Neodiprion lecontei: one gene and its partner. The protein of the gene in region 1 purifies or fractionates together with the protein of each later gene. This does not show direct contact. Links are inferred from orthologs where the notes say so. Each region holds a gene or a part of one and is shown in the gene's direction. Other genes may lie near its edges.

Region 1 (18,112 bases):
GTCTGAAGGTCAAACAACATTGTACTGAAAAATACAGAATGGGAAAAAATCTTCCGATGCTCAAGTTGTCCTGTTCACTCAAATCTGAAGGATTCAAATATCTGATATATTTTTAAAATCGGGCATAAAACAACCTTAGATGATGACAGAGGAAATGTCAAATGTGACAGTTCAGTACTCTGACACGTATTTATTGTTTTTTTTTTGTTTTGGTGTTTTGTTAGTGAAAAAATTCTGATCGAATTCAGCACCATTTGTTGGAAAATGAGTGTTTTATGAAATTGTGAATTACGGGTGAATATTGAAAATAATTCCTCCAGCTTGAGTGGAAGGGAAGAAAATAAATTCGAGTGACAAATTCACCTACGCCACTAAATATCTAGATCGCACAGCACTAAATCAAAAATATTTCTAAGCAAGCTATGTAGCACACCTGTCTGCCACTGTCGTCAGTAAGTAACGCGTTATTATTGCCGTCCTCCTTTCAAAGCAACACCCCCAACTGATTCACAACCATTTTCTATTTTAGGTTAAAATTTTTTTTCTGAAAATGGCCGTTTTGCAAAACTACAATATATGCCGTGATCACGGTCTTATCATGATCTATATGTATACACGGTACTTTAAATCGAACCTATAGTTTAATATGGTAGTCGCGGGAAATTCGAATGAATGAGTAACTGCCAAGTATTTGCACTGTAGATGCAATAATATATGAATATTGTTTTTCATTTCAAGCACATTTCACCCTCACAACAATAAAAACAAAGATATATGTACTATTGGTATACGTGCGTAGTCAGCCCAAACTTAGTCATGTCATATTACGGTGAGCATGTATGTTATCCAGCAGACGAAAAAATTATGGCATCATTTTGTCATCATGTGAATTATGCTGTCAGCCGATTTCCAAGGTTTCTTAATTTTGAACGTTTATTAATTGTTAAATATACTACCGAAAGTTGCGTAGACTCGAATATCACACATGTAAACGAGAAAAAATATTAACAGCTGATAGAAATAAAAATTAGTCGTGTTCGAACATACATTTTCTATAAACCTTGAGAGGTTACGACACGGTTACGAGATTCGATAATTATGTTTAGAAACAAATTATACCATGAGTTAATTTTTTCGGGTGATTCAAATGTAAATATGCATTTTTTAGAAATATAATTCCATTTCACAATATACCAGTGAAGCTCGTTTTGAAAGACATCAATGAAACAATTCCTTTCAAATTAAGCAGAATTACTGAGATTTGAATCATCATATCAATGAAGTACTTGACATAATCTTACTATGACACTTGCTTCACCTTTTTTATCTTCTTACAACAGTGCTTGTTAATTTTTCCTTTTTTTTTTTTTGCCTCAACCTGACAATGTAATTTACCCGTAGGCTAAATAGTACTGACCATGGAACAGTCCATACATGTGGAGACAGGAGCTCAGCTCCTGGCTCGGCTCATGAAAAGACCCATTCTTCATGGACTGGAAAAAGATCTATTCTCTGATGGTCCAAGGCCAAACGAGGTGATTGAAGTATCTGGCAACTTGTCGAGCGGGAAGACACTTTTGATAACTCAATTAATTGCAAAGTGTCTCCTGCCGCGCAGGTACAAAGGCATTGAACTGAACGGACGAGAGGCAGGAGTTGTACTTGTGAATACAGATCATCATTTTCACATACCTACTCTGGTTGATCTAATGGCCTGCTTTATACGTAACAACAATGATGCAAGGAAATTAGGTACAACAGATGTCTTTGATGATAAAGGCATTAAGAGTATCATTGAAGATTCTCTTAGGTACTTCACCGTTATAAATTGTTATGAAAGTAGTCAATTCTTCTTGAGCTTACAATCACTCCAAGGTATACTGTCAAACGATGATAAAATAGCAATGATTGCTATTGATAGTATATCGTCTTACTATTGGCAAGACAGGAAGCACGGAGAATGTTGGTCAATGGACGGATATGTGAAGAGCTGCTTGAACATCATGCAAAAGCACACTTTTGGTCACAAAATCATTCTTCTTTATACCAGACCCAGTGACGTCAAATCAAAAAGTAAAGAGGCTGTAGTTCGTACCTCTTTACTAAATGAAGAAAAAATTCATTATAAAATACAACTTCATAAACAGCATGATGTCAATCAGTTTTCAGCTGTGGTTGAATCCGTAAGTGATAACAAAAATCTCAGTTACATTGTAAGTAACAACGGTATAGAATGGAGGACATGTTACAGTAAACGGTAGAAACGATTTAAAGTATTCCTACTCCAAAAATAACTTTTCAACAAACTTATAAATCAGAAAAAAAAACCATATCTATATATATACAATTAAAATAAAATAAAGAAAGCATTGTACAGTGTCAATCGTTATTTACTTCCCGAATGTTTCAAAAGTATATGATTTGTCACATCACATGGACTCAACAGTCTGGACCCAGCTATTATGACCTGAGAACTAGGTTTTTTGGATACAATCATATCCTGAACGATTTTTATTTCTTCTGCAACGACGCCTCCCAATACATATATTATTACATAATCGTTATCAAGAGGATGTTGTTTTGTTCGACCCTTTAAAAGTAAACTGAAATAGAAATTGAAAAAATTACCCATTATAATCCATCTGTCGTATAGAGTATACCTATGTATACATATTCAAAAATTTGCTATACTCACTTAAATCCAGCGGTAATACGAGAGAACGTTTTACATTGAAGGTCTGGAATTTCAGGCCTATCAGGATCAAGTAAATCCATTACCAGTTGTTGCAATATTCCAATGCATTGAGCCATCTCTTGTGGACTGGGCTTGAGCATTAATGACCTGCAAACATGGTTACATATTCAAGAACAAAACTTTTTCTTTAATTCACCTACTGTTCATTTTTGTTTTGCATTGTAACAAGCCCTTTCACTAATGAAAGAAAAATTAAAATTAAAGTTGGGTTCAGAATATGTTCACCAAAAAAATTACACAATGTTAATACAAATACTCACTTGTACTTCTGCAAAGATTTTCGCATCTCTGCTATTCTGTGAAGCTTTACCATAATATCATTAGCAATTTGTGTAGAAGTTCCTTCCGTTAGTATTCGCTTGCCTAGTTAATAGGATTTCAAATACATTTGATCTATTATTAACATTCGGCACTTAAGCCAATGCTCGGATTACGACACAATGATTCTCAAACAATAACAACTTGTCAAATGCTCACCAAACAATTCTGATGACAGATTCATCATTGGACTATCTGAAGCTGGAGTGAGTTTATCATCGTGTTTACCATCTTCATATATTGCTTCAGCCAAGGCTTCTTCCAACTGTTTCTCTTGCTGTTCAAGAAAATGTATTTCTGTTCCAGCAAGAGCATATATGTACACTAATAATCCCAACAGATTTTCAATCGATAAACCTCTAGTGGCACGAGTCTTTATGATGTTACTTAACTGTTTGAACACAAAAACATTTTACTATTAAAATGACATTAAAAGTACAGTCAAAACAGTCACGCTCATAGGTATTCTTCTATAGTGGATACAATCAATGTTGTGGTACAATGAGATAATGAAATCATGCAATCCTTACTTGAGTTAGTATACTTGACGAGTCTCTGCTGACTGCTAGGTTCTGTAGTATTAGTTTTTCAAGACTTATTATCAACTCGATTTGAGATGTCTTATTTGATTTCAATGCTTGAATCACTGCTAATATTTGCTAAAACAAATAAGCGAAACTTCTTTTACATGCAAAATATTTGAATTGTATTTAATTAATTTCATAACTTGGTATTACCTGAAGCTTTTTACTTGAGTCTAATATGAGGCTCAAATCATCAACATTTCTCAACTTGTGTACAAGTTTTTCTAAGCTATGAGCTGTTATTCTAGTGGCAATTCTTGTTTTTGGACTTTCCTTAGCAAGCAATATATCTGACAGTAATTTGTGCAGAGTTATTAAAACATCTTTCTGTTTATTTTTCATTAATTGATTAATCATATTAGAATCATTGCTGGCTAAGCACCCTGGTGCAGAGTACCTTGGATTATTTTCACTGAGGATAAAGAGAAGAAGTATTTATTTCATAACTGACAATGAGTGTGATGGTGTTATAAAACCTTTAAGTGACTGTTTGAATCACTAGTTTAGAATGGTTTCAGGCCTCAGTTGGCACTTTACATAAGATTAAAAGGCAGCTCAACAAATAATGAATTTATGCAAGTTTAATCTAATGAATTTGTGATACTCAGCTTTTGATACTCACACACCATCTTCATCTGGGCCCAATGCTGTCATATTCACTGCAATGTCATTCTGATGACCAGGCAAACGTGGCAAAGTACTTAATATTTTGCCTAACAAGGACTCGGTATTGTGACTTGAAGCTACACAGAGATCCAAAGTCCTATCAACCAGAATAAAAGATACTCCAGTAGTTTTGCCTGTGAGGCGCTGGGAAAATAAATTGCATTAAAATTTCTTAATGATTTAGTATTATAGCATTCAAACTGAAAAACAAAACAGTTGAACGTTGATTATTCGAACTAATGGAGACAGGTACCCATTCGGATAACTAAACTGGAATATTGCATTGCGAAAAAAAAGTACTGATTTGCTCAAAGTAATATAATGTATTTATTTAAAACCGACCAACATGTCAGTAGTACATTTCCTCTATTGATTGGGACAAATTTGATACTTATTTTTATCTAATTTACAACGTAAGCTCGTTTATAGTAAAATGTAAAATTCAATACCAAATTTTGTTTTTGCACAGTTTTGCCAATTGGTAAAGACTACCAGCAGAAATCAAATGTATGTAAGGCTTAGTCGTACAGATAACCGAACATTTGGATAAACCAAATCATTGTTCGGATATTGGACAATTCTGATAACTGACATTCGAATAATCAACGGTTGACTGTATAATTATTTCACAATAGATATTATTGAAGTCTACATTTGAAATTCACCTTTCGTCTGTCAACAGCAGCCGGTAACTTCTCCAGCTTCTCTGCAACATTCTCACTCAATTGACCACAGTAATAGATATCTTCTCGGAGATTGAAATTGGTAAACATGCTGTGCAAGGAGCTAACAAAGTGATCGATGTTTTCATTGAATTCATCACAATGATCTTCAGTACTAAATGGTGGCATTATTTTCCAAAATGGAGGAGTCACAAATAAATTTTCATTAATAGATGCTATGAAAATTGGGCGGAACATTATGTTGACAACAGGCTCCTGTGAATAAATTCAAAGTTTAGGATTTAGAGAGAAATTCAAAGAGTAAGAAATCCATCAAATATTTTCTGGTACAAAGATTGATAGTTTCATCAGGAAATTCATTTAGTTCTGCATTCTGTGTACATAATTGGATAAATGGATAAGTTTACCTGATCGAATTCCTCTTCTAATCTTGAGCTCATCCATCTGATTATATCATGTTTGAGACAATCGTAACTGTCAATATCAGCCGACTTAGAATCAGAACTATATTTCAAGACACTGCTGTGTGCAGCACATATGACAGTGCATTCTTCGAATCTGTTCAGATCGATAATTGTTTCTAATGTATGTCGATAGAAATCAGAATTTGCAGAGGTGTATACAAAAACTGCTTTTCTTGCCTTCTCGACTTCAGCGCCCTGAATATATGTAAAAAACAGAATGGCTTGTATAAAATAATAAGAAAATGCGAAATATTTAATTAACAACTTAAATAAAAACACAAGCTACCAAATCTGTGTGAAAAATGATTTTTTCATCACTATTTTAAAAAAATATCAGAATTAAACTAGCAAAAATCTTACTCGGAAGTTGTCCATCAATAACTCACGAACAGCAATTACTCCAGCATATTGCAATTGCTTAATTGTATTGTCACCTGTGTACCAATGTAAGCATTCCACCGCTGCTTTATCGATATAAAAAACAGCATTGTTGACATGTTGGAAAACATCCTTCCAACAATTGTCCGTAAAATATTTAACTTTGTTATCCATTTGAAGAGACGAAAAATTTCGCGAGCCTAGGTATTACTATGGACAGTTTTAACAGTTGTATCTTCTTCTATATAATTCACAGCACCTTCCTTTCGCTGTTTGTCTCCTGAAAATAAACATACAAAATAACTAATGACACGTATCGCTGACGATATTTCTTTTCTTACCTACCATTCATGTCAGCATGACAAAACGTTAGCAGACGACAGCGTGATCTAGCCTGACACCTCGGGTTGTTTTGGCAATTGGGAATCCCTAGGAGGGTTGTTGAATAATTAGGTTCCGAACCAGAGGGTCTCAACTGATTCCAGTTCCGAACAATCTTTGAATATCACTTTCTGGTTCTTAAACGTGACCGAATCCCCTAGGCGGACACGGAGTCACAGGGAAGTATCCGGTGCCCTGCGTGCCTCGGCATTCGATAAATTTGCGTGACGAGTCTTTCGGTTTCGATGAAATTTAATGCTCTACATTCTAGGTGAATCTCTAGCACAGCAGTTTGTTTGAAGCATCAGACATCTACTACAGAAATAAAATTTTACCCTAATTGATGGAACAACCCATTCTATGTTCAACGATTTAACTTTGAATTGAGGCGATGCCCATGCCGTTAACTTTAAAATAACTCCCTACTCTTTAGGGTACATCATTATTGTGCATACATACATGCATACCGACGTTTTCGCAGTTCGCACGACTACTGCGAGAATTTTATCAGATTTGTCATTACACGTTATTAAGTGACGGGAACGTACACATAGGTATGCGTGTCGTAGGTTTTTACTTGTGTAAGCATACACGAAGCACCGACATGACGCACACACATACATGACATATATATATCGGACACACTCGGCTGTCAACCAGCCGCAGCCCATACGGAGTGACTGGCTCTGGACTGCGTATTAAAAAAGTGATACAGACCCTGTGTATGGATTTGTGTCGGCAGTTGAATATTTTCTGTTGCATATATAAATAAAGAGGCTAATTAACAAGTGTAATTAATGCCTTTTCATTTAATAATGCATTCAGAAATGGAAGAATACGAGGCGGACGTGTCCGTGGTGGACGTGTACGATATCGCTTCGGAAATTGGAAAGGAGTGTGAAAAATTGATAGATGTTTTCGGGGCGGATTCTGTAACTAGTCTTATGCCAAAAGTCATCAACGCGTTAGAGCTCTTGGAACGATTAGCGACTAAAAATGAACGTGAAAATACTACTGTTCAAGAGCTCAGATCCAAGATTTCGCAGTTGGAGAATGATAAAATTGAAAAGGCAGAGGATAGGCAAAGATTTGAAAAGGTTAGTGTTTTGAATTGAAGTGAAAAAAAATTATTGTTGACAATTATTATCTTGAAATATTCAGTAGTATACCTTGGATCATTATCATCCTTCTTTCATAAACTAATATATATATATGTATATATGTATATACATGTAGAATCAGAACTATAATTAAATGACGCCTCAATGAAGTGTCCTTCATCAACCATTTAAATATTAAACAATTGGACATGTTATCCATGTAAACGTACAGTTTACAAAGAACTATTTGGATTCCAAACATAAATTTACAACATTCTTGGGTAGCAATCGAACTATTCAAACAATTAGTCACTTGAAGATATGTGTGTTGAGTTATCATTAAACAGTTATCAATTTTTAAATTGTAACAACTCAATGCATTATTTTATTAAAAGTGGTACAGTATGTATTGCAATTATTAACAGGAATTGGAACAAATCGAGGATCATTGGCGACAAGAATCGCGAGACTTGGTGGGTATGGTAACTAGACTACAAGACGAGAATCGCCGGCTAGCTACAGCCTTGCAAGAATCGCGTAGCGACAGTGAGGACAGCGGTAAACAAAGTACTAACCCCCTCCCTGTTTGTCTAATTGTGGAAGTACCACTGCATGTCACCAATTAGCAATGTAACATGAAAGCTTGTATGAAAAATATCCCCTTTATGTACCTACTTTCATATTTGGTTTCAGCATTCACTGCTAGTCAAGAGGTAGATGTTGCGGTACTGCAACGTTTAAGAACCATGATCGATCAACAAAGGGACCAAATTCGAGCTAGGGATAGAGAACTGTCTCAAAAAACTTTGGAAATTGAAAATGTAAGTTCACTAGCTATAAAATTTGACCATACTACTTGAAAAATAATTTACAGAGGAAAACTAAGACTCGATGAATGAATCGAAGCGGTCTGGAAGAGAAAGAATTGCTATGCCAAAAAGATTAATAAAGTCAGAGTATCAGAAGTTTTAGTTTTTTTGCCAATTTCAATTGGAATCTACAATAAATAAGTCAAAATATTATCATGATGCAATACCTATACTTAACATAATTGATTGATATTTTCAAACTCAATATATTTCTTGTAAAATCCAGTTGAGTGGTCAAGTTGAAAAACTAGGCGTTGTGGGCCGAGAATTAAGACGTAAACAGCGTCAGGCACAAATGCAAGCTAGAGGACTTGTTGAAGAACGAGCAGATTTTCTTGCCCAACTTCAAGACCAGAATCGAGAACTAATTAATCTTCGAGCACGTCTTGGTCTAGCTAGAAAGGAAAATGAGGACCTAACAAAGTGCCAGCCAGCTCCTGATTTTGCTAACAAAGCAGTATACGATTTGGATGACCCAGACCGGCCTAGATTTACCACTGCTGAACTCAAAGAAATCTTACATGAAAGGAATGAACTAAAAGCTAGAGTTTCCGACCTGGAGGATGAGCTTGAACTCTACCGCCCTAAGCCTGAGACGTACGTCGAGATGTTAACGCTATCTAGCACAGCACGTATATTTTGTATAAAAAGTTTACGTCAGCAAAAATTAACAGTCTAACTTTCGGTTTTTTTTTTATTAATACGTACATCGACCTCTACTTTTCATTTTATTTACTTTTTTAAAAATATATATTAATTGGTAATTCAAAATCTAGGTACTTCGCATTGAAAATTTTACAGATAGTACCTAGCTTATAGTACTGATGTACAGGACATACTCGACACAACTGTTTAGTATCTTAATGTAGACAGTATTTTTTACAGCTAACCATAGCCAAATTATTATGGTCATATTATATTATTTTCAACTACTCCAGGACCTTGAGTTGTGCAAGCCCGTATAGGTAATTTTAATTTAAATGAAGTTTATTTTTTATTTTTATTTTGTTATTTTATGTGTTTCATCTCCTGTATTATTTCATTTAATATGAACAGAGTTCGTTATTTTTCATTTGAGTCAGTCACTTTATCTCATGGAATTTTATTTTTGCTGAACATAACAATGCCATAAGCAATGATGTGAAACGTATCAGTTTATCCAGTTACTATTACATGCTGTGATATTGATGTTTGGTTGCTGATAATACAGATTACAAGAATAATGTACCGTAATGAAAATGGAATTCGGTATGACATTATGAGATATTAATTTCAGACTGGTCAAATAATAAACGATCATTATCATTTTGCTGTTAGCTTTCCTCATGCAATACTTCTAACTACACATAGTATATGTTCTTGATTATATTATTTTCTAATTTTCTGAGAGCAATTTACTCATTTGGAGTTAAAGGTTTCCTTTACCATTGATATTCTGCAACTCCTTAGTAAAATGTTTGCACAAACCTTCTGATATCCAGTCACTTTTGTTATTAGTTAGGCCAATAGTTTACCAATAAAAAGTGAATACTAAAATCCGTACCATAGATGGTATGATTTTCTTTCCAGTATTAAAACTATGTATACATTAGACCTGTCCTTAAGGAGGGCAAAATCGAATTTTAATGGTCTTACCCCCCAAATTGGTTCGAAATAATTCAAAAAAAATGTCCGAATTTTTAAAAATTTTTCCCTCCATATTTACCCACGCCTAGGAAGCCTTACTTTTCCCATAAGAAAAGCATTGGTTTTTTGGGATTTTTAATAGTTTTTTGACCACCGCCGTAATTATCAGCTAAAAAATTGCAAATTCTCAGAAAATGTTGACAGGTGTGTTACCTTTTTGTCCAATTCTTTGGAATTCGATACAAGCATTTTTGGGCTAGATCGATCACATCTTTATTCTCTAAAAACGCGGAAAAGAGTCGATCGATCTAGCCCAAAAATGCTTGTATTGAATTCCAAAAAATTGGATAACAAGGTAACATAACTGTCAACATTTTCTGAGAATTTGCGATTTTTTAACTAATAATTACGGCAGCGGTAAAAAAACGATTAAAAATACCAAAAAACCAATGCTTTTCTTATGGGAAAAAGTAAGGCTTCCTAGGTGTGGGTAAATATGGAGGGAAAATTTTTTAAAAATTCGAAGATTTTTTTTTGAATTATTTCGAACCAATTTGGGGGGTAAGACCATTAAAATTCGATTTTGCCCTTCTTAAAGACAGGTCTAGTATACATATATTAAACCATAGTCAATTCAACTTAATTCAGCTTGCGGCTTTTATCAAATTTAACAGTATGTTCTTGGGCATTAGAACTGGAATGAGTTATCAGTTTTTTTGGATACAGCTTATAATTAATTTTGTGAGATGTTCTGCAAAAATCAGATTCGCATTAATCCTCATATAATTTGAACAACATGAAAAAATGTCAATTCCTACTATTTGAAGTTAAAACAAACAGTAATGAGTTGTTTCAAATGCAGCAAGTCGTTGTTTATCATTTGAATTTGCACGCTTTTCAACCGCATGGCTGTTTGATTTGACCTACACTTACTACATGTGCACACCAATCTTGAGGCAGTGGGCAACCCGCGATTCCATTTAGTAAAGGACAGAATTACATCGCTACTTCTCCTGCCACAGTGACTAATGTTACTCCGTAAGATTGCTCCTCAGCTATGCTAATCTAATATTAAACTATAACTCAGGCTATATTTTTTTTACCGAAATGCTTCCTTTACATTGAATTTTATATTCTCATAAACCAATTTGATTGATACGTGAGATTGTTTTATCAAAGTAGTGTTTGTTTATATTAGCCCCGAAGATGACAAAGATGCACCAGTACAAGGACCATTACCCTTCGAGCCAGATGATGCACCTTGGAAAAAGTCATCAGAATCTGGGATTCGCAAATTGTAAGCATGTTACATAGGAAGAAGTTTATCAATATAAAATAAATTTCAAAAACGGGCATTTACCCAATTTTTTCAATGCATGCGTTAATCTTTTATAAGTGTACTAACTACCATTTCTTTCTAGCTTCCGCAAAATATTTTCTGAAAGCAGTGGCAGTTTTTTAGGCAGTAGCAGCCCAAGGAGAAGTCTTTCTAGTCTCTCCAAAATGGCATTGTCTGGCAATGGTGCAAGTGATACATCGATTTAAACAGTCAATCATTAATGGTACTGAGTATGCAAAATGGTATTTGAACTTCGTGATGTACAACTCATTATTAGACGAACTTCTTATGATATTAAATAACGAGATTCATACTATCAAATGTCGAAAATCTGTTGAAAATCTTTTAATTTAAATAGTCGTAATTGATTGAAATCGCATTTATTTTGCTGTTTGTATATACTATAACTGTTATTTCAAGTTTCATTTTTTTTATCGTTCGAAATGAGAAGTCTAATCACTTTCGAAAATTGAATGATGTATATTTATCTCAACTGAATAGAAAATACGAGTTAAAATATATTATTATACTAGAAGTGCTGTTATGAAGTATGTATATTAACCATCAGCATTAAACACATATCTGTGCTTGAAAATTCAATTCAACATTCCGGAAAAAGTCTAGTGAATTAGGACATTAACATAAAAGTAATTATTCATCTTTAATGATATCAAACAAAGCTTCCTTTTACGAGTTTACAGAAATTGCAATGTCGAAAAAAATATTTTACTACATCAACACTAAGTAGACTTATTTTTATTATTGATTTTGACAGCACCCTCATTTAGATATGTGTGTGTGACACACATACACATATAAAAACATATCAAATCTCTTAATTCATATTTACCAAAACTCCTATGTACATATGCCCTACCACAAAATACATTGTACTTGTGAATTGATAGTATCGAACGTTAAACAGAAGTCCATTGCAATGTATTCATAGAAATGTTAAGTACATATTAAGAACACAGGATCCACGTAAAAAATAGGTAGTATAATTTCGAATTTATCGTACAGGGGTAGAAGACCAATAAAGCATCCTACATTTTCTGGTTTTATAAACTTTATAGCAATCGTATCCAAATTATAACACATGAAAAAAGATTACATGCTCAAGCTTAGAATAACTCAGTCACTGATGAAATTTAATGAAGTAAATTTGTTTTTGAAAGGTGTAATACCTAGTATCATATAGTCTATGGCAAATTGCAGTTAGTGATACAACAGTGATTAATCATTATTGTCATCAGCCCGAAAATGATGCTGAATGTATAACTCGGGAATCTTAAATTTAAAACATATTGGTAATAATGAAGACCAATTGTTTTTACATGCTTGCATGAGATTGTTCCACTAATCTGGTTGCACTTAAATTGTCTAGCTTATCACTTTACATTGACTCACGGTCTTTCTAATATTGGCGACTACTGATATATATATATATACACATACATATATCTATCTACAATCATTATCTACTTGATTTTACTTGATTAATCGAATGAAAACCATTGAGGAAAACGCTCTCGGAATCCGCAACTTGCTCGATTCTATCAGAATTCGACCGTTGATGAAATCCTACCGTTTTGACAACTTTTTCCCGTAATTCAGTTAATCGATAAAAACTTAATTACAAAATATTGCATTTGACGAAAAATTCTTTTGTTAATCCACGACGATTTTTCAGAGAATGTGAGCGAATTTAATCAAATTTTATGATCTATCCTAAGTTTCAAAAAGAATGTTCTTTTGGTAAAAATCAGAGAAGGTAGAATTCCAAGAGTAACCGTATATTGCTGAAATGACCGTAATCCGAATTGTACAAAGACTTCCTTGAAAAATTATTAAAAATATAACAAACTCCTTTGCAGAGTAATTCTTAGTCTGATAAACAACTTTGAATAGCAATATGCACATGATTACGTTTTTCTGCATAAATTTTGTATTAAAAATTTAGCAGCGCTGCGTTTTCAACATTTATTGTATTATAGAGTGCCAAAATGAACATTACTGTAGGATTGAACCAATAAAAGTTTTAAAAAAATTAACAATACGCAATATATAGATTTATGTGTCTAAAACTGCTTGCCAGTATTCTTCAACGACACTCCAATAAGTTAATGCAGCATTACAGGTAGCAAACTAGTAGTATGGAAGGCAATTATTGAAGACTAATCGTGAACAATTTTAGTACATATCGATTTATACATAATATTGGTATCTATAACGCCAACGATAAGCTGGTACTGAAGAATATATTGATTTGATGAGTGCTACTGTATCCGCTTGACATTATAACCAACAGTTGACACGATAGTAGTGCTGAAGTAATAAAAAGGCTTTACAATATAGCTCGGGTGATCTGGTAACAAAGATAGTTTTAAAAAAAAAGGGATGACGTGCTTCTTTTTTTTTTAATTACAAGTTGGTATGTTAACTACTTATTACAAGTGCAATACAGACTTAATCTCACTTTTGACGCATACATTTTATATCAAGTCTTATGGATGAGTAAAGTCAAGTAACTGGACAAGATTACCAATTACTTGATGCAAAACTTACAATTACTTAAACTGATAACTATCGACTGGCAGTATGTGAGGATGTATGGGCATTTCCATGTCACTGGAGTAACTTTTTATAACTTCTCGTTTTTCTATTAAGTCATTGTAATCACCCCAAAACTGAAAACATGAGTTTTCATAAGATCTTCATGTTTTGAAGTCTAGAGATTCTACTCCAATCATTTTCAGACGAAAATCTGCGTGTGTGTGGTTGTATGTACGTAGAATGTCCCTTATTTCGGATGTCGACGAATTTTAAGAAAAAAGATCAGTAAAGTTTCAAGCCACTATATCAATAAGAACATGTGCCTCCATAAGTAGATGCAAAGAAATTCTGGTGAATAAGATTTTTTGGTCAATATCAAATTGTTTAAATTAAAAAATTCCAGCAATAAAATAAAAATGATACCTTAAGAATGAATGAATGGATACGAATGAGAACTGGTACCATAACATTTTTTCTAAGGTCAGATTTGCAAAATTGATATTTGGCGCATTAAATATTCAATGTGTTGGGAAAAAAGAAATTTAGGATTTTGTTGAAAATTCGTACTCAAAGGTTTTTTGGGTCACTGATTACGAATTTTACTTTGGGCTTCCAAAATTTGAACTAATGATTATTGTTGTTATTATTGTTATTATTTCAGTACGAATGAGTTTGAAAATGAACAGTTCAAAGCTTGATTCATGGTCAGTCCAAACCTGCTTGTTTCAATAATGCATTGAAAAAATAACAAATACTTTTGGATGAAGCTGAATATAAATATGAATGCAACATTCTTTAATTCAATGCGAGGCTCGAGACATTATAGTGAAAAAGAAATGAATTATTTATGTATCTTAATCTGAGAGTTCTACCTAAAACATGTCTAAATTATATCAAAACTACCTCTGCACGCTTCACGCGACCACCCAAACCGTTGGGAAAAATAAGGATGGAAAGCCCATGCACATGTATAAGTGTGTTAATCTATCGATTTATATACTATATTGTTTATTCAGTTCAGTAGCACCAATATGGTGCCTTAATGCACTATGTTATGAAACAACTGGGGGTTGAAAAATTATGATTCTACCTGATTACTTTCAATTACTGACATCGCGTTATTTCCTATTTACGAATATTGATTAATGCTAAATTAGACTAGAGTGTTATAAGTCAACATTGTTTAAGTTAGCAGCAGAACCGGTTGGTAAATCTGGTGGTAGAAATTTACCTATTGGTTGAATGGCCTTTCGTTGTTCAGCCAACATTCTCATTTCCTGTCTAAGCTTACCTAAAATTGCATGATTTGGCTGATTTACCAAAGCCTTACCCTGTAGCAGCGTGATTTCCTGTTCTAACTGCTTTTTTTCTTTGAAAGATTTTACACTCCGTGATCCGTACAATCTTAACAGTGAGCCCCATGACTGTATGTGCGGATGTAATCGTTGCAAGATTGCTTGTGCTGCACGTTGTTTACCATCTTTTTTATTTCGACATACCTTTAATCAACATTTTAATTCAAAGAAAAACCAGCACAACCCACTAATTCATTTACTAAGATATGTTTTTGCAAATCTTACACTATAATCTACGTTACAATCCATTTCATTGTGCCTGTTAACTTCAGAAAATATGTATTAGAAGCAGTTTGTTACTTACCACAGTAGCTTCATGTTTACCAACACGCATTGTGAACTCATTGCGTTGGTGTTTCAACGTATTCACAGAATAATTTATATGCATATCGCCAAGGCCAAAATTCCTCTGTAGACAAGTAATCAAAATTGCATGAGGTGAAGGCTCTGTCGTTTTTGCACAAAACTCAGCTACCCGTGGATCAGTTATTGTAATTTCGTCAAAGAAAGAGAGGTCAGCCTCCGATGTCCCTCGTGAAGCCTTGAGAGCCCTATTAGAATTATTTCCAGTTCCGTCTCCTGACTCTCCTGAAATCTTATCACGCATCTGAGGAATTAGGATTTCGAGTGTTTTGCGGGCTGCATTGGCTTTTGCTTGTTTTTTGCTGCTACCGAAACCACTGCCATATTCCATTTCATTTATGCAAACCACTGCTGAGTATGGCGTCGACGCATTTTCTACAAATTAATGTTTTACTTTTTATTTGTGTATTGGCAGGATAAAATTATTTGAGAAACGTGAAAAACTGTTCGATTTATATGCCGCTTTTGCATATTTAAGCATATTTTATTCACAATCAAATAAACCGCTGATATTTATTTATAATACCTCGTAAACAATCAAAAATAATCATTCACAGCAGGACAAATGAGGATCCTTCCAATAAAAAAGAAGATAAAGGTCTCACCTAACTCCTTAAATTTATAAGTTGGCTGCTTCTTCAGAGCATGTTGTACATATTCATGCAGAATACACACATAACTTTTTCCAGACGGATTCATAATCCAGTGTTTTGGAGGCCTTTGTCCCCCACTATCATCACCTGCAATTGTACTATTGTTCCCAGATACTCCAGCTCCACCAACTGGAAAGGTTATTAATTTGGTGCCATCAGGTAATGTGGGCCGTTCCAGCTGCTTGCGATGCTTCTTGTTCTTTGTAAACTTTCTTCGTGCTGACCACGACCTACATGACAAATTTTCAGAACATGTTCAAGATTGTTATCCATGAAAATCAACCATTGCTTCTGAACGTTTCATCTTGGCCAAATAGAATGTAAAGTAAAAGCTGAGTGAAAATATTTAGACGTACTGAAATCTCATGACTTTAATTGCTTTGAAGCGAAACAAAGCTTGACAGTAGTTTCTGAGTTGTTCACTGTCTAGAGAATGTGCTGCCCTATTTTCTTGAATAGTTTCAATTTTAGCACTGGGTAAGCTACACGTCTCTGCAGCAGGTTCTTTTTCTCTTTCCTTTCTTCTCTTTTCTTCTTCTTTTTCTTCCTCCTGCAATGCTCTTCTGTACTGCAAGCAGGGTACAGCACTGACAGGTACTTCATGCTTACGCACACTACCTGGTCCAAGGAAATATGGTTTAGCTAATGTACAAACACGACTCTGCTTGTGCAAGTATAACGGAAGGCCACTGTTGTGGGTCACTTGAACCCACCCTTCTGGTAGAACGTCAAAGTGATTGTGACCAATTTCTGAAAATTTAACATACATTTTTATATAATATCAATCTTGTAGTACTTTTGGATCAAAGAAAATAGAAAAATCTTATCCAGGTTTCAGAGGATCAAAGTAATCAAGTCCTTGCTGATTGAAACAACACTTGAGAAATAGGCAAGATGTGTTACATCAGTTTTTGAAAAGTTCCAAAGATATACATATAGTCAATGCCTCTTTAAAACATTACTTTTTTTTACTTCATGACCTTGATAATAAGCTAAGTATGCTTTTAGTAATTAGAATTTTGCTTCAATGATGTATGAATGTTAACAGATTTATTCAATTATAATATCGTACCATCTAAAACCAATTTTTCTTTTTCCTCGTACGGCATTGCGTCTGATTTTTTTCTACGCTTTCCTTTAAATTCGTCAGGCAAACCTGCAAAAAATAACTAGATATTAGTAATGTATATTCACAGTGGCAGTTCTGACTCACATTAGGTGATACTTCTGATGTAAAGCATTCATTTAAGTGAAAACTTGGCAGTCAATAAAATTGTGAACTAACCCTCTTCGAGCATGGCTTCTATTTCTTCATCTGGCACATCAGAATCCATACTATCAGTTGATTCTGTCTCAGAATCAGAGCCACCTTGATCTGGGTGTCTTTCCAAATCATCGAGAACATCAAAATGTCTCAATTCATCATTGGTACAAGGATCATGTCCACTAAGATTTGAATCATTGTCGTTACTCTGGTCATAACCATTTTGTACATTCTGGCTGCTATGTTTCGAGAAATCGCTGTCTTGTTCGAAATTCTCTCGATTAATGTTGTAATTTGAATCAGATCTAAGAACAGTTGTAAAATTCATGCTGTCATCCTCGTCTGATTGCACATCCAGGTTATTCTTGAATGGGCATTCCACAGGTTTTCCCTCTTCCATATTTGGCAAATTTGCATCTATAGTACTGACCTCCTCATCTAATCTCAATATCTTGGGAGGGCTCTCATTGTCAGACATGATGCCAGGTTTCAAGTGTTTCCCAATATGCTAGGAGATCAAATTAAGATGCTACAGACATGAAGTAGTGATATAATGGTGGTGAATGCAGCGTACACACGGAACTGTGGCATGTGGCAAAATTATTAATGTTTAAGTTCAAGGAAAGTATCGAAACGATCAATCAGTGAAATAGACAAAGCTGCATTATGCTCTACCTTGGATCTATCCAACACAAATATTACAAGAATACTAATTTGGTTGTTATAAAATATCCAGAAAATTGATTTCTAAATCTTGG
Region 2 (15,616 bases), on another chromosome or scaffold:
TCAAACAATGCAGTAAAATCATTGATGGTTTTGACATTTTCGTTACCAACTAATTCAGTCTGGTCTTCAATATTTTGCCCTGCTGTATAAATACTGATAAAATGAATAAGATTTTCCCTGACGTCATCCCTTATGCTGGGTGTTATCAGTTCCAAAAGTGGTTCAACGAAATGATTAGAAAATTTGCTATTCAGATTAGAAATGATTGTTCTAACAAAATCTATATCAGTCAAGAAACTGGGAATTTCACCTAAGACATTTAGCCATAAAATATCTCTAAGTTCGGGAAAGTTTCTATCAACTTCGTCTCGAACTTTGAGAGACAATATGGTTGACGAAGTTCTCCTCCTTTTGTTTTCTCCGACATGTTCCAACCTATGTTTGATTTTGTGAGCTAATTTTATTTTGCACAGACTAGACGCTATATATTTCATCCACAAAGATGCAATAAGATGCTTTTGCTCATTCTCTGTCTCATCATTTATCAGTTCCAATAGCCGCAGTATTAGTTTTTGTAAAATTTCCTTCTCATGTAACATTGTTATAAACTCTTGCCAAAAATTGATGAAACGTGATGGAAGACAGTTACAGTTTTCAGTATCTGAACTTGATTTCTTTCTCCTCCCAAATATCTCAAGAAATTCTTCGCTTGGAAGGAATGCTTCCCCTCCAAGTAGAACATTCAATATAATTTCGTCTTTATCTGGTGGAAATTTGTTTTTGCTCAAATATTTAGATATTTGACACAAAAGATTGCTTTGTTCTGCTACCAGTTCGTGTTTCTCATCATCACAGGGATCAGTGTCATTTCGAGTTTCTGTATTGACGTCAATATCGATGTATTCTGTATTTTCGTTGTTTGGCAAGATCAAAGCATATGCTCGTAAATTACTCAACGTTTCTCTAACAATAAAAAGAATAACAAATAGAAGATATTTCACTTTATATCTAATGAAATCTATAGTCACCAATTATTCCTGTAAACTTATTCTCTTACCTTAACTGTGCATCAGGTATGTCTTTTATCGAGGTGTAACCAGCATGGATATATAAACCAACTGCGATCCACAATTCAATTAAATCCGTTAACGTCTGTGCTTCTTCTGGCTCATTCTCTTCTTCCGCTTGTTTAGTAATGTTATCTTCCATAGCTTTCAATTCTGTTGCCCAATATTCTTCCTTCAAAATGTAAAACAGAATCAAAATAAAAATTCCTTTCATTAGCTGAAGACTGGGGAACCTGCACTCAGAGAATACTGTTTCTGCAAGGCGAATCCACCATTAGAGTTATGTGACAAATGAATTTCATAATCATAACTGAACCTTCTTCTAAAAAGCCGGATAGAAAATGGTTAAATTCGTTCAATGTTTTCCAAAACTTCCACAACTAAATTGCCACATTTTTCAACAATTTGAATCAGTTTCAAGCAGTTTGAGACTGTAAAAATATGTTGACGTATTATTATAAACTAGGTAGATTATAAATGTTGTTTTTTTACAAAATTAATTTGCACATATACCTAGGGGAAGTATTTCTAAATTTCACATTCCCAATCCTAAGTTTATAACTTTTTTTTTTTAATTTTAGGCAAGTACTGACATGGATTTCATAGTGTTCTTCCTTTCTTGGTATGACAATATGCAAAAAATTTAACTTACATGTAGCCATTCGAGTAGTATATTTGTAGCTATACGCAATACATCGAGTGATGGTAATTCATGGCCGTGTGCAGCATCGTGTCGTATGTTGACAATCCATCGTGGAATATTAAGCTGTTTAGCTATTTGAAAAAGGGAAGATTGCTTAGTTTCGCCGATGTTGGTTATGTGATTAAGGAACCTCATGATCGTTGTTGAGTACATCAGGCAGAGATCATTCTCATAATAAGCCGGTAAATCTCCTTTGTCAATCTTTGGGGTGATTTCCCTGTCTCTGAGGCAGACTTGCATAATAGCCAGCGTGCATTCGACGCCAACTGGCAATTTCGGAAGCCTCGCTTTCCATACTAGTAGCCTCTTGTAGCCTTTAATCTGCTCAACCGTATCGTTGGAATAAATTTGTTCGTACACGTCGTGCCACTCGGTGCTGAAAAGTACAACTGGGGGTTATGTTATGTTGACAGCGAGTTCAATTCGGAAAGGACACTTGAAGGCTAATTAATTTCAAACCGTTCCGACGAATGGACGAATGGAAAGTCCAGTTTTTCGAAAGGCCAAGATTTGCTAGTGATCATTACTTACAGCGAAAACCATGGCACTTGCTTCCGATGATCCCGCTTGAACGCCATTTACAAATGTTTAGCATGCTGCGTGGTCACGCATGGCATGTGGAAAGACGAAAATGACCTCTTATTTCTCTCTTTAATGACGCATGCGCAGTACTTTAATCCGCAGCCAGAGATATGAACAAAAGAGATAAAAGGTAATTACGCCCATATCTCCGGTTCTGATCAAGTCATTGCAATGTTCTTTTTTTTTAATTAAATTATATGTATCGAAAGAGTAATCAGAAACTTGAAAAATGTCTGAATAATTTGAAAATAAACAAAGTTATTTACATTTGCGTATGCACTGAAATTTTAGATCTTCAAAAAACAGCTATCTTCTTTTTAAAGTTACTCCTAGGTGTTACAGTATGAAAATAGGTACTGGAAGCTGTAAACTAGCACCATGATTTTTTTGCACAACATAGGATAAATCTGCCGATAGTTATCAAAGCAATATGGATTTGCGTAGGTCGCTTATTGTTCACTTTATTGCTCAACTATGTGACGTAGCGCGGTAACTTGAGACTAATAATTCGAGAAAGATTGTTCTAAACGTCGAATGAGTTTTGCGACATGTCATTGAAAATTTTCCGAATCAATGGCAATATAAACAAAACGACCGATGTCCGTGTTTACTAGTAATGTACCAATTTTATAAAGGCCAATACAACGAACAACTTTTGAAGGAACCATTTTTCTGTAAAACCAACAAAAAAAATGACGTCAAATTATATCGTTTTAAATATTACAAAAAATTTTACCCAAAAATTTGTACTTAATTTCTCTGGCACACATCAGGATATCTTATTGAGCATCTAATAAATCTGTAAAAAAATTGCGGGGTTCTGTTTTTTTGGTAATAGGAGCTGAGGCATTGACTGCAGATATTGTAATATGTTTGAGGGTCCCTTAAATTTAAAAACTTGTATAACCCTATAATCGGAGCGAATCTAAGAATGATTAACACTTATTTAATATAATCGTACCAAAAGATGAGTCGCTTTATTTTTGTTGGTATAATCGAACCAAGGTTTTTGAGATTATTTTGGATGAAGAGATCGTTTATTGGTTTATAAGAATTAACCATAGAAACCCAATTGCCACTTTATTTAAAATCGAAAGACACTAATATTAATAGACATTATATAAACAAAAAAACGTAACTTGTCTTATCTAAGCTACATTTTAGATTAATATTTATTTTCGAAAGCATTCAGTTCTTCACACTTAACATTTATTTCCAGGGTCCCGATATGATATTGAATCTAGGTCGTATTTCCCTCCACCTAATTTGAACTTAACGCTATACGTATTATGTTGATCACGTATTGGGACGAATTATTGCTGCCTTGTTCAAAACACGAAATCTCCCTGAACTAAAAGTTAGCGCGTAGGATAAAATTTATTGAAAGTAAAGTTCAGACGTTGTGTAAAGTATTGTCAAATTAATATTTTTAGCATTCCACGAGAAGTCATATGCATTTCCTTACATCATCTCTGATTTGATCTGTAATTGTTTCTACTAAGCTTGGACCTTGAGGTAAAACTTCTGGCTGCCGAGGAAATTAATCTTGATAATAGTTTGTAAGTGTGGTGTTTTTCATAACTGAAAATCTGTTCAAACGGATTTCGACCAAGAAAATTTTTAAGGTATATTCAAATGACGAGAAACACGTTTTCACCACCAAAAAAGCAGCACGTTTTTTCCATTTTTTGCACCGCCTAATGACCAATTTACAATCTACATCATATTTTTCACCTAAACTATTGAGTTTAGAGGAAAATGTTTTGTATAAAATAGATGCATTTGCATACTCATCCTTCCTAAAATAATCTTCTCCTTCAGCCTCGACTAAGCACTGAAAAAATTCAATACTGCTTGAAACATTCATACGAATTTATTTCAGGAAAATATGAGAAGAAAATAGAATCACATGTCTTTGCTGATTTCACACAAAATTAAGTTAGTTTCAGAGTAGGAAATAATTTATCGCTTTATAAGCGCACGTTCATGTGTAAATACTTAATCTAAAGAAATTAAATGAATCGCAAAATTATGAATACTGATAATTCATTTCGTATAAAGTTTCGTGAAAAATAGGATTTGACATTGTTATATCACATATGAAGAACTGAAGGGTTTAAGGTGTAGAAAATTTTTGCAGAAAAGAACTTGTTTCTGGTTATTTCGGCATAATTTGAAGAGTTTTTGGTTCAATTTGATCTAGAATCTTTTCAATAGCCCGAAGGGCTTCTTAGAGCTCAAACGGTAAGAGAAAAATTATAGATGTAATCGAAGATCATGGGGGGGAACAAAACATTGAATTGTTCGCGGAACTCCCGGTTTACAAATCGTATGTAGACACCTACAGACGTCTGTAACAGAGAGAAGAAAAAACACAGTATTTTATAAAAATTATTGCAAAATCAATTGATTGCACAAAAATATTATTCTGCATTATGTGTGATTTACACATAAAGTATGAGGAACAGAGAACTTCAGGCAGCCAGCAAACTACATTATAGTAGGTACAATTTATCTGCAACTCTTTTATCATCATCATCTAATACTATGACATTTACAATTTCTTATATTTTAAGTATTTATCTACATAAGTGTTTTGGAAATTTACAACGTTCAGTCTGTCAATACTACTTACTAGAGCTTCGTCGAACACCTGATATCGATAACTATGTTACACTATTAAAGAATGCAACAGTGGTTAATGAAGAAACATCTTCAATGTAACCAATTCCTGATGTATGGTTACACCTGGTAACACACACATTTTCTCTTTCTATGTCACCTCCTGTGATGGATTCTCATCAGTTCAAGGTCAACTGTGTCATCTACTGTGCAGGTTGAACAAATAGTAGCAGCCGATACCAGTGACCTTCGATAGGTCAGAATCCACTACGGGAGACGTACATACATACATGTTTACAGATACTGTATCTAGTATATCGAAAGACTTTTGTTAATTGTCCAAAGTAATCAGTATAAAATTTAGTGATTCAAAGTGAAATCAAAAGGATATTTCGATGCATAGTGATTTCTGTCTTACCATGAATTATAGCTCTCACAAAATTACATTTATATAGAAAACTTACATAAGAAAATGCCCATCTTTTTGTGGGACTCTTACTGGTTAATTATTGATATTCATCTGCATAATTTTCACTGTACAATATTGGCATCGTTCATTTAAACCTTCTGTTATAAAGTAGCTAATATCCTTGTGAATCCAACACAAGCAGCCATTACAGTTTGTCCGATACCCCACAGTAAAGCATATAAAGGCAGCATCTGATAGCCTGATGCACGGTAGACAAATGCTACTGCTGCGGAACTCAGAATTCCTGATGTTAACGGCAGCAATACCCCCATTATTATTATTAGCAGTGGGAAGAACCTGGATCAAATAAAATTATCCTGCCTTACATGGGTAAAAATGGAAATCAACAAATACAACTATATGCTCTGTGTTTTTCAAACTACAAAGAACACAAAAGACATCCATGTACTTACTTTCCATATTTATGTTTTCGTAATGTGGCAAAACAAATTGCTGCTGCAATGGTATGGACGAATATGGACGAAAATAATGCCCAGAGAAATATCTGATACCACATCTCTGGAAAATAATACATTATGACAAATTACAAAATGTGTTTGTGCCATAAAATCTAATTAACCATTTCCAATTAATTTTAGGAAGAAATTACATACGAAGAAATGAACTGAGTGGATTGTAAAGTGCATTTTCATCATTATTTGATGTTGCAGTAAGAGGTGTTGGCTCATTGGACATTGCTGTAGCTGAAATCACTTTGTGAAGCATCGCCTAGCAAGCAAAGACGCTATTAAGTACCATCAGAGGGAGGTCTCATCATAATGAAGCGAAATCTCCTAGGAAGATAAACACAAAGTAATTAATGGTACAAACACAGCATTGTCTACAAAAACATCAAGATACAAAATAAATAATGCTCAAACGTTAAACAAACGTTGATATGTGTGAAAATCGAGAGGGCAATTGGATATATGATACAATAAAATTACAGTGATTTTTCCCAAGCAGGTAATATTTTTTAGTGATAATAAATAGAAGCGAACAAGAAGTGACAGTTTTATGCATATGCATATATATGTAGATGCGTTTCTTAGTACTAAATTAACTTCATTGAAAAGCGAAGGGCAGCAGTAATTTTATTACCTAAGTAACTTGATCAGCATGCCATGTGAATTATATTTTTACTTATGTCAGATCATCTGGCTGTCAAATTCCCGGAAGCTCGACTCGAAATTTTACCGAGATCTGTCAAAAGTCTACTTGTATGAGAATGCGTGTACTTGGTGCTCTCTGCTTGGTGGTGGTACGTATGTACCATAGACTTATAAAGAGTTGAGACTGCGCGGTCTTACAGGCCACTGAAGCTAAGACCGAAGGACAGACATAGTCTGGGCTGTTCTTTTTCCGTCGCGCGATCAAAAGAGTGGGGAGCAGCTGCGACGCGGGAAAAACGATATTGGATTTGCAGCAAAAGTGCGCATTGAATTCTTCAGTCAACTTCAGTCAACGCTGTGACCCTCGATCCTCGGTATAAGCATCCGCATAGAGAATGGATCATGTCTCCCTTACCTAAGCAATGCACGGAATATGTCCGCCGCTCTGGAAGCAAGATAAAGAATTATTAGTGACAATCCCTGTCTCTTTCTAAAGACCGCTGTTGACTGAAGATCTTCATCGACATAACGCAACGAGGACACGAATCGACCCGTATATGTTTTGTAAGGATTCTGTGCCCGTACTGCAATCTGTCTCTTTCTATTCGGCAGATACATTGTTGAACTACTCTCGCAGTCCATTCTCTATGTCGATGGGTGTAAATCCACTAGTTAGTAAGAAACATACCTTTAAGTAAAAACAAAATAAACTATAAACTATAAACATTGTACAAAGTGTAACTAGTAGATATTACGTAGTCATAAGTAGTTTAAAGCATATAACAAAAATACTTGGGTATTTGTAAAAATATTTCTTCCAAAAATAATTAAATGAAATATTATATTGACATGTATAGCAAAATAAACAATACTTCGTTAACAAATATCACTGCACATACAAAACTTGATTTAATCCCAGAGGGTAGGTATTACAACTTTGAATAACCCATTGTAAAACAATAAAATTAAAACACAAAAAAACTTTTAAACTGAGAAGGTTTTCCGGGAGACCATAGACTATCGCCGTACTATAGGCAACCCTACCTACATGGAGTACTTCTGTTGGTAAAGAGATCAAATACATAATCAACACCTGTAACTGAGAAAATTGCACGTATGTACTTATATTCCAATATCGGTAAAGTTAAAAGTCAACAATTAAATAATTTCAAAACATCGCGACTTATCTACGGTGTCTTCACAGTTCCACCAAGATTACATGCCGCCCACTACAACTCCTGTCTTGAGCAAAGTAAGGTGAGTTGTATGTTAAATCATTACTCTTGCTTGAGCAAAGTAAGGTGAGTTGTATGTTAAATCATTACTCTTACACAAGTTCTTTCTCAAAGATTATACCCACAAGTTCCTCATGTTAATTCCATTACGCGGTCTTTCCACGCTCGTCTAGTGTCCTTCAGTACACAATCGATATTGGCAACCAAAATTGCTGATTGTAAGTATGTCCTAGTTCATTTTCGTGATTCAGTTTGAATCTAATTCTTAATTTATCGGACCAAGTGCTCGCAGCGCAGGCTTGCGACGGAAGCACGTAATATGGTTCGACAGCTATCCGTGCACACGTCGAGTTGATCCTCCTTTAACGTCCACGTGTCAGCCATCTTGAGATGGTTTTTTGTTCGCGGGCTGACCGATGAATTTAATACAAGTGATGAGTTCGTAGGATACGTAGTAGCCTGTTAGCACGATCCAATAATATCCGACGTTCGTTCGATTTATTTCCGTTAAATTCATCGCAACCACTCTGAAAATAGCTACGGCTTGTGGTGGAAAAAAAAGACAAGGAGTGACCAGAGTGACCGCGCAATCTCCATGCGATTCGAGTAATTTGCGGTCATCGAAAGAAGCAACACTTCAGTATATACTACTATAAAAAGAAAAGAACGAAAAATAATCTGAAAAAACCCGAGTGTTATTGGTTGTTTCTAGAATTAAATCTTGTTTTCACTCTAAACACAGCCGTGGAAGAGGATACGTACATAGGAAACACGAGTTTCGAGTGAGATGGCCAAGAAAACGTACGACCTTTTATTTAAATTGCTATTGATTGGCGATTCTGGTGTTGGAAAAACGTGTATTTTATTCAGATTTTCGGACGATGCTTTCACGACAACATTTCTCTCTACGATAGGTAAGGAATATTATCTTCTTTAATCTCATCTATGTAAAGTGCGTTACACATTCATTTCCGACGATGACGACACAGTTGTAAAAACAAATGACTTGTACTTGGTAGGTTGAAAAAAATTCATCGTATACAAACACGCATTGCGTGCACGATAGTGTACGTGTATCGAACTGATAGCTTCAATAAAACTCGTCATCTTTTAAAATGTTGCAACTTATACGCGCCATATTATTATTGCTAGTCAAATTAATCCTTGAATATGTTAATTATTAATACCACATACGTTGGTACAAAAACGCATAGGATGCGGTCTAGCTGCTGCATGCTTTGTTCCCCGAGACTGAAATTCTTTGACTATAAATAGATATTTCTTTTATTGAGGTACAGTCTCATTATGCGAGCCAGATCATTTAAATTGATCAATAATATATGATATATTGAAGATGAGCGAGTAAACCCTTCCAAAGAGTAGAGGAATATTCTGTAGCAGACACTTTCTCCATTTAACTCGTTATATTATACATATGTATTTCATTTATTGCAATCTCACCGCATTACCATAAGATGAGAGACAATCTGTAACGACTACTTTTTTTGATTCTATAATTATTGCTAAATGTTGTATGGAAATAACACTGTCCCACATGGACTTTCCATTATAAAATAAATCAAGCTTCTTCGATAAGCTTTTTTAATTTTTCAATGTCGAACATGGGACTGTTGATGGAAACTTTTGATCATTTCGAGTTATTAAAAAAATTGGCTCCAAGTGTGACGGAAACATTTTCGAGTTACTAGTTGTGACTAATGGTACACAAATGAGATGGTTCTTGCTTTACTCCGTTCCAATTTTCATTAACCGCTGAGGTGATTCAAAGCTGCTGGGAATAGTTTGGCATTTGGTACAAAATAAAATCATGAAGTTAATCAGTTAACCTGTTTTTTGATGCTGGAAAATAATCAGTGTCTATTGGACAGCGCGATCTATTGTGATATGAAAATATTGTGGTTAGCTCATCATCATTGTTAGTGAAATACTCAGCTTTCTGCCGATTCTTAATTTTCATGTTTATTTTTCTTGCAATATGTATATCAGGGGGCTGCTTTTAATTTGGAAAGTAACAGCAGGGATAGCTTCCATGATCCTAGTGGTTGAGGCCTGGTATTTTGGGAGACACGATTTTATTTATCACATTTAATAATATTTCATATTAAAATCGTGTTAAGGGAGGTATCACTACAGGCATGACGCATGGATTACACTCTGAGTCAACTATAGATTAGAAATAATGAATGAGGCACTCGATGTCGAGTACCTCTGCCTTTCGCTTCATTTTGGTATCTGTTATTCATTGTTTCAGTGAAAGCTCATGCGTCATTGTCTTTAGTATCAATTGTATGTGAACATTGATAGTATCTCTTGTTTTACTACTATTGTTACTACTATTGTAAGTCTGTACTACTATAATACTAATTTCAGTATATATACCATGAAAAAACATTTTGAACTGTCAAGATATCGTACGTATTACGAGCAGAACAATATATATTTGGCGAGGAATACTATACATACCTAAAGTGTCGATCGATCAGGCTTGATCAAAAACTTTGATACTGAATTTCAGTAAGTAGTTCTTTGTAGGTTATTGAAACCTGGTAAGCAAAAAATTATGAACTTAATACCGATAATTTATTTGTCGATTATTGGAATTTAGTATTGGTGATAGTTACGAGTTTTCGATCAAGTTTGCTCAATCGAAACTTCTGATACATAATATTCAATTACAATGATATCAAATAAACCAATTTTTAAATGAATGCGATATGGTTGAGAAACGTATAACTCAAGTTTCAGTTCGCAGCAAGTAATGTCAGATTGAAATAAAAACTGTTACCTCCATGCGTATCAGAATGAGCTTGTCAAGAACTTCGTTCAAAATAGAGATTAGGAATCCTTTGAAACCAGTTGCAACTATCAGTTGATTATTGCTATTAGCTGTTATTTGTTTTGGTACCTAGTTGCTGAATCTTCACAATCTCAAATCCTGTACACAGGGTGGCCCAGGACTATCGCCCCATAGGCTATTATTGTGTTTCTTGCGAAAACCTGCGACAAAAACATTATTTAATTTTGGTAAAAAAGTTCTTGTTTGTGAACAAGACAGCAGGTCAGCGAATGACAGTCAAATGACAATCCGCCAGTGCTATTGTGAGCCATCAGACGCTACTGAATTGGCCAACTTCACACGGCTGTAATTTACAAATAATAAATTTCTCATGAGAAATGAAAAAAAAAACAAATGTGCCAGCTGCAGATTTTCATGAGAAATACATAGATAGCCTATGGAGCGATAGTCTCAGGTCACCCTGTGCAATGTACGTTTTCCAGAAATCATTACAAATCAACACAAAATGTGAACACTACACATTTGCAATATTTACTTAGCGTAGACATGCACTTAAGCTTGTATTTAAATATTAATGGCATAGTATTGGTTGTGTATGCGAGTTTTAACAGACTGTTTTACAACATGAAAGTATATACACACATCTTTTTCATGTTTTAATTTCATTTTCATGGAAAATTTTTTTGTAAAACTATGCGCTAAATCTTATTCATGAATACAGAGTTTGCATGGGCTGCATGACTATTGTTTAAATCACTTGCTGTGATTGCGAGTACTACTAACAGAGTCTTCAGACCAAGTTTGGAATTGAAATAAGTTTAAAAATTTTGGTCGATTGCAGGATAAATTACATAGCGGGACAGGTAGTAGAAGGTAGTGAAAGTTTGTTTTAGAGAACTTGATATATCTTTCCTTGCTAGTCTTGTCGCTAATCCTTTACCTATGTCCCTCCTCCGTCAGTCAGTAGCATTTTCCACATTTGTGGACACGCGTGACGGACGTCTGTCCCTTTCAATCGGTCTTCCAAATTTCTCGGGTCGCTCGAACGTTATTAAATTTAATTAGGCCCTTGTCACGTTAGGCCCACGGTAGTATCCAATCGTCTTCCTGCGGGAAAGCTGTGGAAGGCTGTACATAGCCTGTACCGTCGACAACTGGATTGCAGAGATGCTCCTGCCGCATTACCTGGTTGATCCGGGACTGAGTTATTGACCGCGCATTCCTCCAAATGGCACCCCACTGCCATTGGCGTTGCTGTGCGATCTATTCCTTAACTTGGAAAGATGCTCAGGTAATTGTTTTAAAAGTTTTTCACATCCTGGAATTCAGTTTCGGCAATGGGGTTTATTTTTTATTGTTATGTTTTTTTTTTTTTTTTTCTTGTTAATTAATCATGTTTATATTTCATTTTTAATTTTCTTTCAAGTTGTAGATAGATCTGAACATTCAATTAGATAGACAGATTATATCTCTCGGCAGAAGCATCTCCTCTGGTGTGTATTTTTCAATCTTTGGCCTGTAGTCTCGCTGATAGAATAATATTATACAGGTTATCCAAATATATCAAAAAATCATCAGGCATTTAAAATCAGTAGATCAATGGTGGAATATAAATATTGAAAAATTCTCCCTGCTATGGTCTCAATTCACTCTACCTAGGCTGTTCAATTTTTCGTATCTGTTAATATTTAATGGAAGACAGTTGTCGAAGTAGATGACAAAGATAAAAATTGACGCATGCACTTATTATTAAAAACAAACCAGTTTCTATTAACAATGGAAATGTCGGACTGTGATACTTGGTAACACAAAATTTAAATGTACTGCTCTAACTATGCTGTATTTAATTTTAAAACAGTCGCCAAACTATTTGTTACACTGCACTAACTCAACATAACAAAACATAAGATTGCCTTGCACAAAGTTTTCTGCATCTTTTTATTCAAATAATTCACCTGAAATGATCTAGTGATAGCTTACTTCTCGGTACCATATTGCTTTGCCCGTGGCTACTTTTGTACCTAATCAATGGCAAATTACCGTCAGGTTTTTAGTCATGCGTTTTTCACAGCCAACGTCTACTTGTTCGGAACCATCACAAGATAATTTCATGTCCCTCAGATTTTATTATGTACTTTTACGTACCGAAAACTTGAATAATTACTTGTAGAAAACACAACATCCAAACTGATTAAGTCCTTGTTCACAGTGGTTATTTTATGTTAGTCTTGGCTTTGCTGGTAAATTTTTTGGTTTCGGTCTGTCTTGTCTCAATCAGATGCTTAATTACCATGAACTGCATGATGAACAAAGGTACAATTGATTTGTAATTTTATTTTCATGTCTTCTTACCAAACAATCCAGAAACCATTTTAACACATTAATTTAACACATTCACATATAGAGAATATTATCTTGGTGGAATACCTAAATGGTAATCTTCATACCAGTCAGAAATGTGTAATGGACATGATTCACTACTCATGTGTAATTTCCTTAGATAAGGCACTGAAGATGTTGATAAGAAGCTATTTTACGTTGACTTTCGAATAACAATCAGAGGAAATTACTTATACTTGATGATGTTGGCTGTTTTCAGTGAAAAAAGTTTCATGATCGTATTTGTCATTTTTCACTCTACAAAAAAAAGTTTAAAACAATCTGCTTCTAACGTTGTTGAGGCTCTCTTCGCTGCGGTCTGGCTTGTCTATTTATGCATATGTATATCGCTATTACTACATCGATTATCTGTAGTGAAGTTGTAACAAATGATCCTTAATATATTTCTATTCTAAATTACAAACGGAAAAACAAAAACAGGGAAAAGTAATATTGTAGCAACTGTGCAAGGAGAATGTATTCACGGTGATTTCAACAGCGATTTAACTGAATGCGTGTCCATGACTAACAACGTTTATAGGCAGGTCGTAGATTTCAAAACTCATTAAACAGTACGCTCATCACTAGTGTAGAGTTCTCTTATTCTATCTTATGGTACTGTGGGAGGTAACATTTTAAAACGCAAATACTACCTCAAGTTATTATAATAGTTTACTGCTAATTTTTACTCCTAACATTTTTCTGTACTTTCTACAATCATAATAAACATGTTAAATGTGATGTAATACTAATAGTGTCAATAATCATAGTAATAATAAAACAACTTTCGTGTTCAGGTATTGATTTCAAGATAAAAACAGTGGAATTGAGAGGGAAGAAGATCAAACTACAAATATGGTAAGTTTATTGTTTTCAAAAAATGCCCATCAAAGTCGGCTTTTCAACGATTTTTTAAGAATGTCTTACTTATGCAAAAGACAGTAGTGTTCGGTCTGTTACCATTACACATAATGGTGTAATATTGAAAACAATCTGGCCATTTGGGGAGTTGGAAAAGTCAAGAAAGTGATATGAGCTCATTTTTCTTCCCCACTCGCTATAAAAATTTATGTATGTTTTCTTTGAAATTTCCTACCAATTGCATCGAAGTCTATGTTTTTCTGGAAAGTTGTGTATAAAAAATTCCATGTCATTATCTAAGTACAAAGGTGGATGTTTACTTCTAGTTAAATGACTGTCCTATATCTGCCAGCACAAAATTACTTGTAGTAGAACATTACGCACTTATGTATGACGAATAACATCTTTCAGGGACACAGCTGGTCAGGAAAGATTCCACACTATAACAACTTCATACTACAGAGGTGCTATGGGAATCATGCTCATATATGATATTACCAATGGCAAGAGCTTCGAAAACATTGTCAAATGGCTGAGATACATTGATGAAGTGAGTATCGAAAATATCGTTCTATAATGTCTGCTTCATGGGAAAACAGTGCTAATCGACAAACGCTGAAACAGGATTTTATCCAGCACAGAATATAATTATTATACGTACCCATCTGCTAGGTCTGTCTGAATAAGAAGAAAAAAACGCGCATATCAATTACTTTTTTTTATACAAGCTCGAAGATTTGCATATCTAACATATGTCGACCTGTCACACAGATGCTCATACATATTTTTTTTCACCAGCACGCTAATGAGGATGTTGAGAAGATGATATTGGGCAACAAGTGTGACATGCATGAAAAGCGCGTTGTTAGTACGGAAAGAGGCGAGGCAGTGAGTATCAATTTATAACTACAGGATAGTTGATCATTTAATCTTAATTTATTCGCAAAATCACTACACTTAACTATGTACGGATCGATTTGTGAGCACAAAACTATACAAAAGTTTGACTCAAGCAATGGTGGTACCACTAGTCACTAACGCACGACCTGAAGTGTGTCTACCATTTCAGATTACATATTTTTTTTTATTCAGTTATCTAGCAAACCGTTGATTACCAATATAAAATTGACTAGCTGTTTAAAAACTTTTTCTATTGAAATGCTAATTGTTTTGTAATCGGTTACAGATTGGTAGAGAGCATGGAATAAAATTCATGGAAACATCAGCCAAGTCAAACGTAAACATCGAGCGGGCATTTATCGAGCTCGCAGAGGCTATTTTAGAAAAAACAGCGGGTAGTGAACCTCAGGAAGCACCGGATCGTTTAACGGTCGATCGTAGAGTTGAAAAAAGTTCAAATCGCTGTTGCTAACTGTATATTAGGAGTTTATATTACATAAAACTTGCATAATTAGCTGAGTATCGACGAATATTGCCAGCTTTATTTCGTTAGTATGATAATTAGCAATTACCTATTATTTTTTATTGTTATCTTTATAATAATTTAAATTAACAATATAGTAACGCGTCAGTTAATGATAATATTCGTACTAGTTATCGAGTTTATTTATATCTATAAGGTGACAAGAAAACGAGAGAGAGAGAGAGATTCGATATGTACATATGTATGTATGTAGCGTATGTCGCGGGAAAAAAAGAAGGAATCTAAGTTTACAACAAGTCTGCGCGGTTAGCAGTTAGATAACTGAAGGATCAATTCATTTACACATTACAATATTTTACGCATTGTATTTGAAATTTTGAAAACTACACAGAAATATTGTACATCTCGCAAGTTTTAAAAGTTTCTATGTTTCATGTAATGTGT

What was found.
Region 2: the proteins of RILP-like protein homolog (region 1) and ras-related protein Rab-10 purify together in Homo sapiens (co-immunoprecipitation; 3 studies listed by BioGRID and IntAct, with this or other methods). This does not show direct contact. The link is inferred for Neodiprion lecontei from reciprocal best matches to the Homo sapiens genes RILPL1 and RAB10.

The regions. Positions count from the first base shown.
Region 1 is NC_060262.1:28,339,756-28,357,867, forward strand, and holds RILP-like protein homolog, read left to right. Parts: upstream 1-6,886; 5' UTR 6,887-7,026; coding exon 7,027-7,326; intron 7,327-7,754; coding exon 7,755-7,896; intron 7,897-8,022; coding exon 8,023-8,150; intron 8,151-8,424; coding exon 8,425-8,795; coding exon of another isoform or gene 8,796-8,839; intron 8,840-9,136; coding exon 9,137-9,163; intron 9,164-10,784; coding exon 10,785-10,862; intron 10,863-11,006; coding exon of another isoform or gene 11,007-11,022; coding exon 11,023-11,121; intron 11,122-11,245; coding exon 11,246-11,369; 3' UTR 11,370-11,763; downstream 11,764-18,112. Other genes in the region: GTPase-activating protein and VPS9 domain-containing protein 1, read right to left, coding at 1,418-1,490; DNA repair protein XRCC2, read left to right, coding at 1,489-1,535, 1,619-2,261; sec1 family domain-containing protein 2, read right to left, coding at 2,387-2,603, 2,696-2,842, 3,016-3,118, 3,233-3,464, 3,604-3,732, 3,811-4,069, 4,280-4,467, 4,989-5,261 and 2 more; microprocessor complex subunit DGCR8, read right to left, coding at 14,886-15,218, 15,379-15,812, 16,043-16,320, 16,447-16,840, 17,163-17,246, 17,376-17,862. UniProt on the Homo sapiens protein: Plays a role in the regulation of cell shape and polarity. Plays a role in cellular protein transport, including protein transport away from primary cilia.
Region 2 is NC_060261.1:28,616,125-28,631,740, forward strand, and holds the start of ras-related protein Rab-10, read left to right. Parts: upstream 1-8,127; 5' UTR 8,128-8,517; coding exon 8,518-8,644; intron 8,645-13,724; coding exon 13,725-13,785; intron 13,786-14,199; coding exon 14,200-14,338; intron 14,339-14,586; coding exon 14,587-14,676; intron 14,677-14,974; coding exon 14,975-15,160; 3' UTR 15,161-15,616. Other genes in the region: uncharacterized protein LOC107225833, read right to left, coding at 1-903, 998-1,179, 1,660-2,086, 2,242-2,288; transmembrane protein 170A, read right to left, coding at 5,485-5,680, 5,797-5,902, 5,998-6,109. UniProt on the Homo sapiens protein: The small GTPases Rab are key regulators of intracellular membrane trafficking, from the formation of transport vesicles to their fusion with membranes.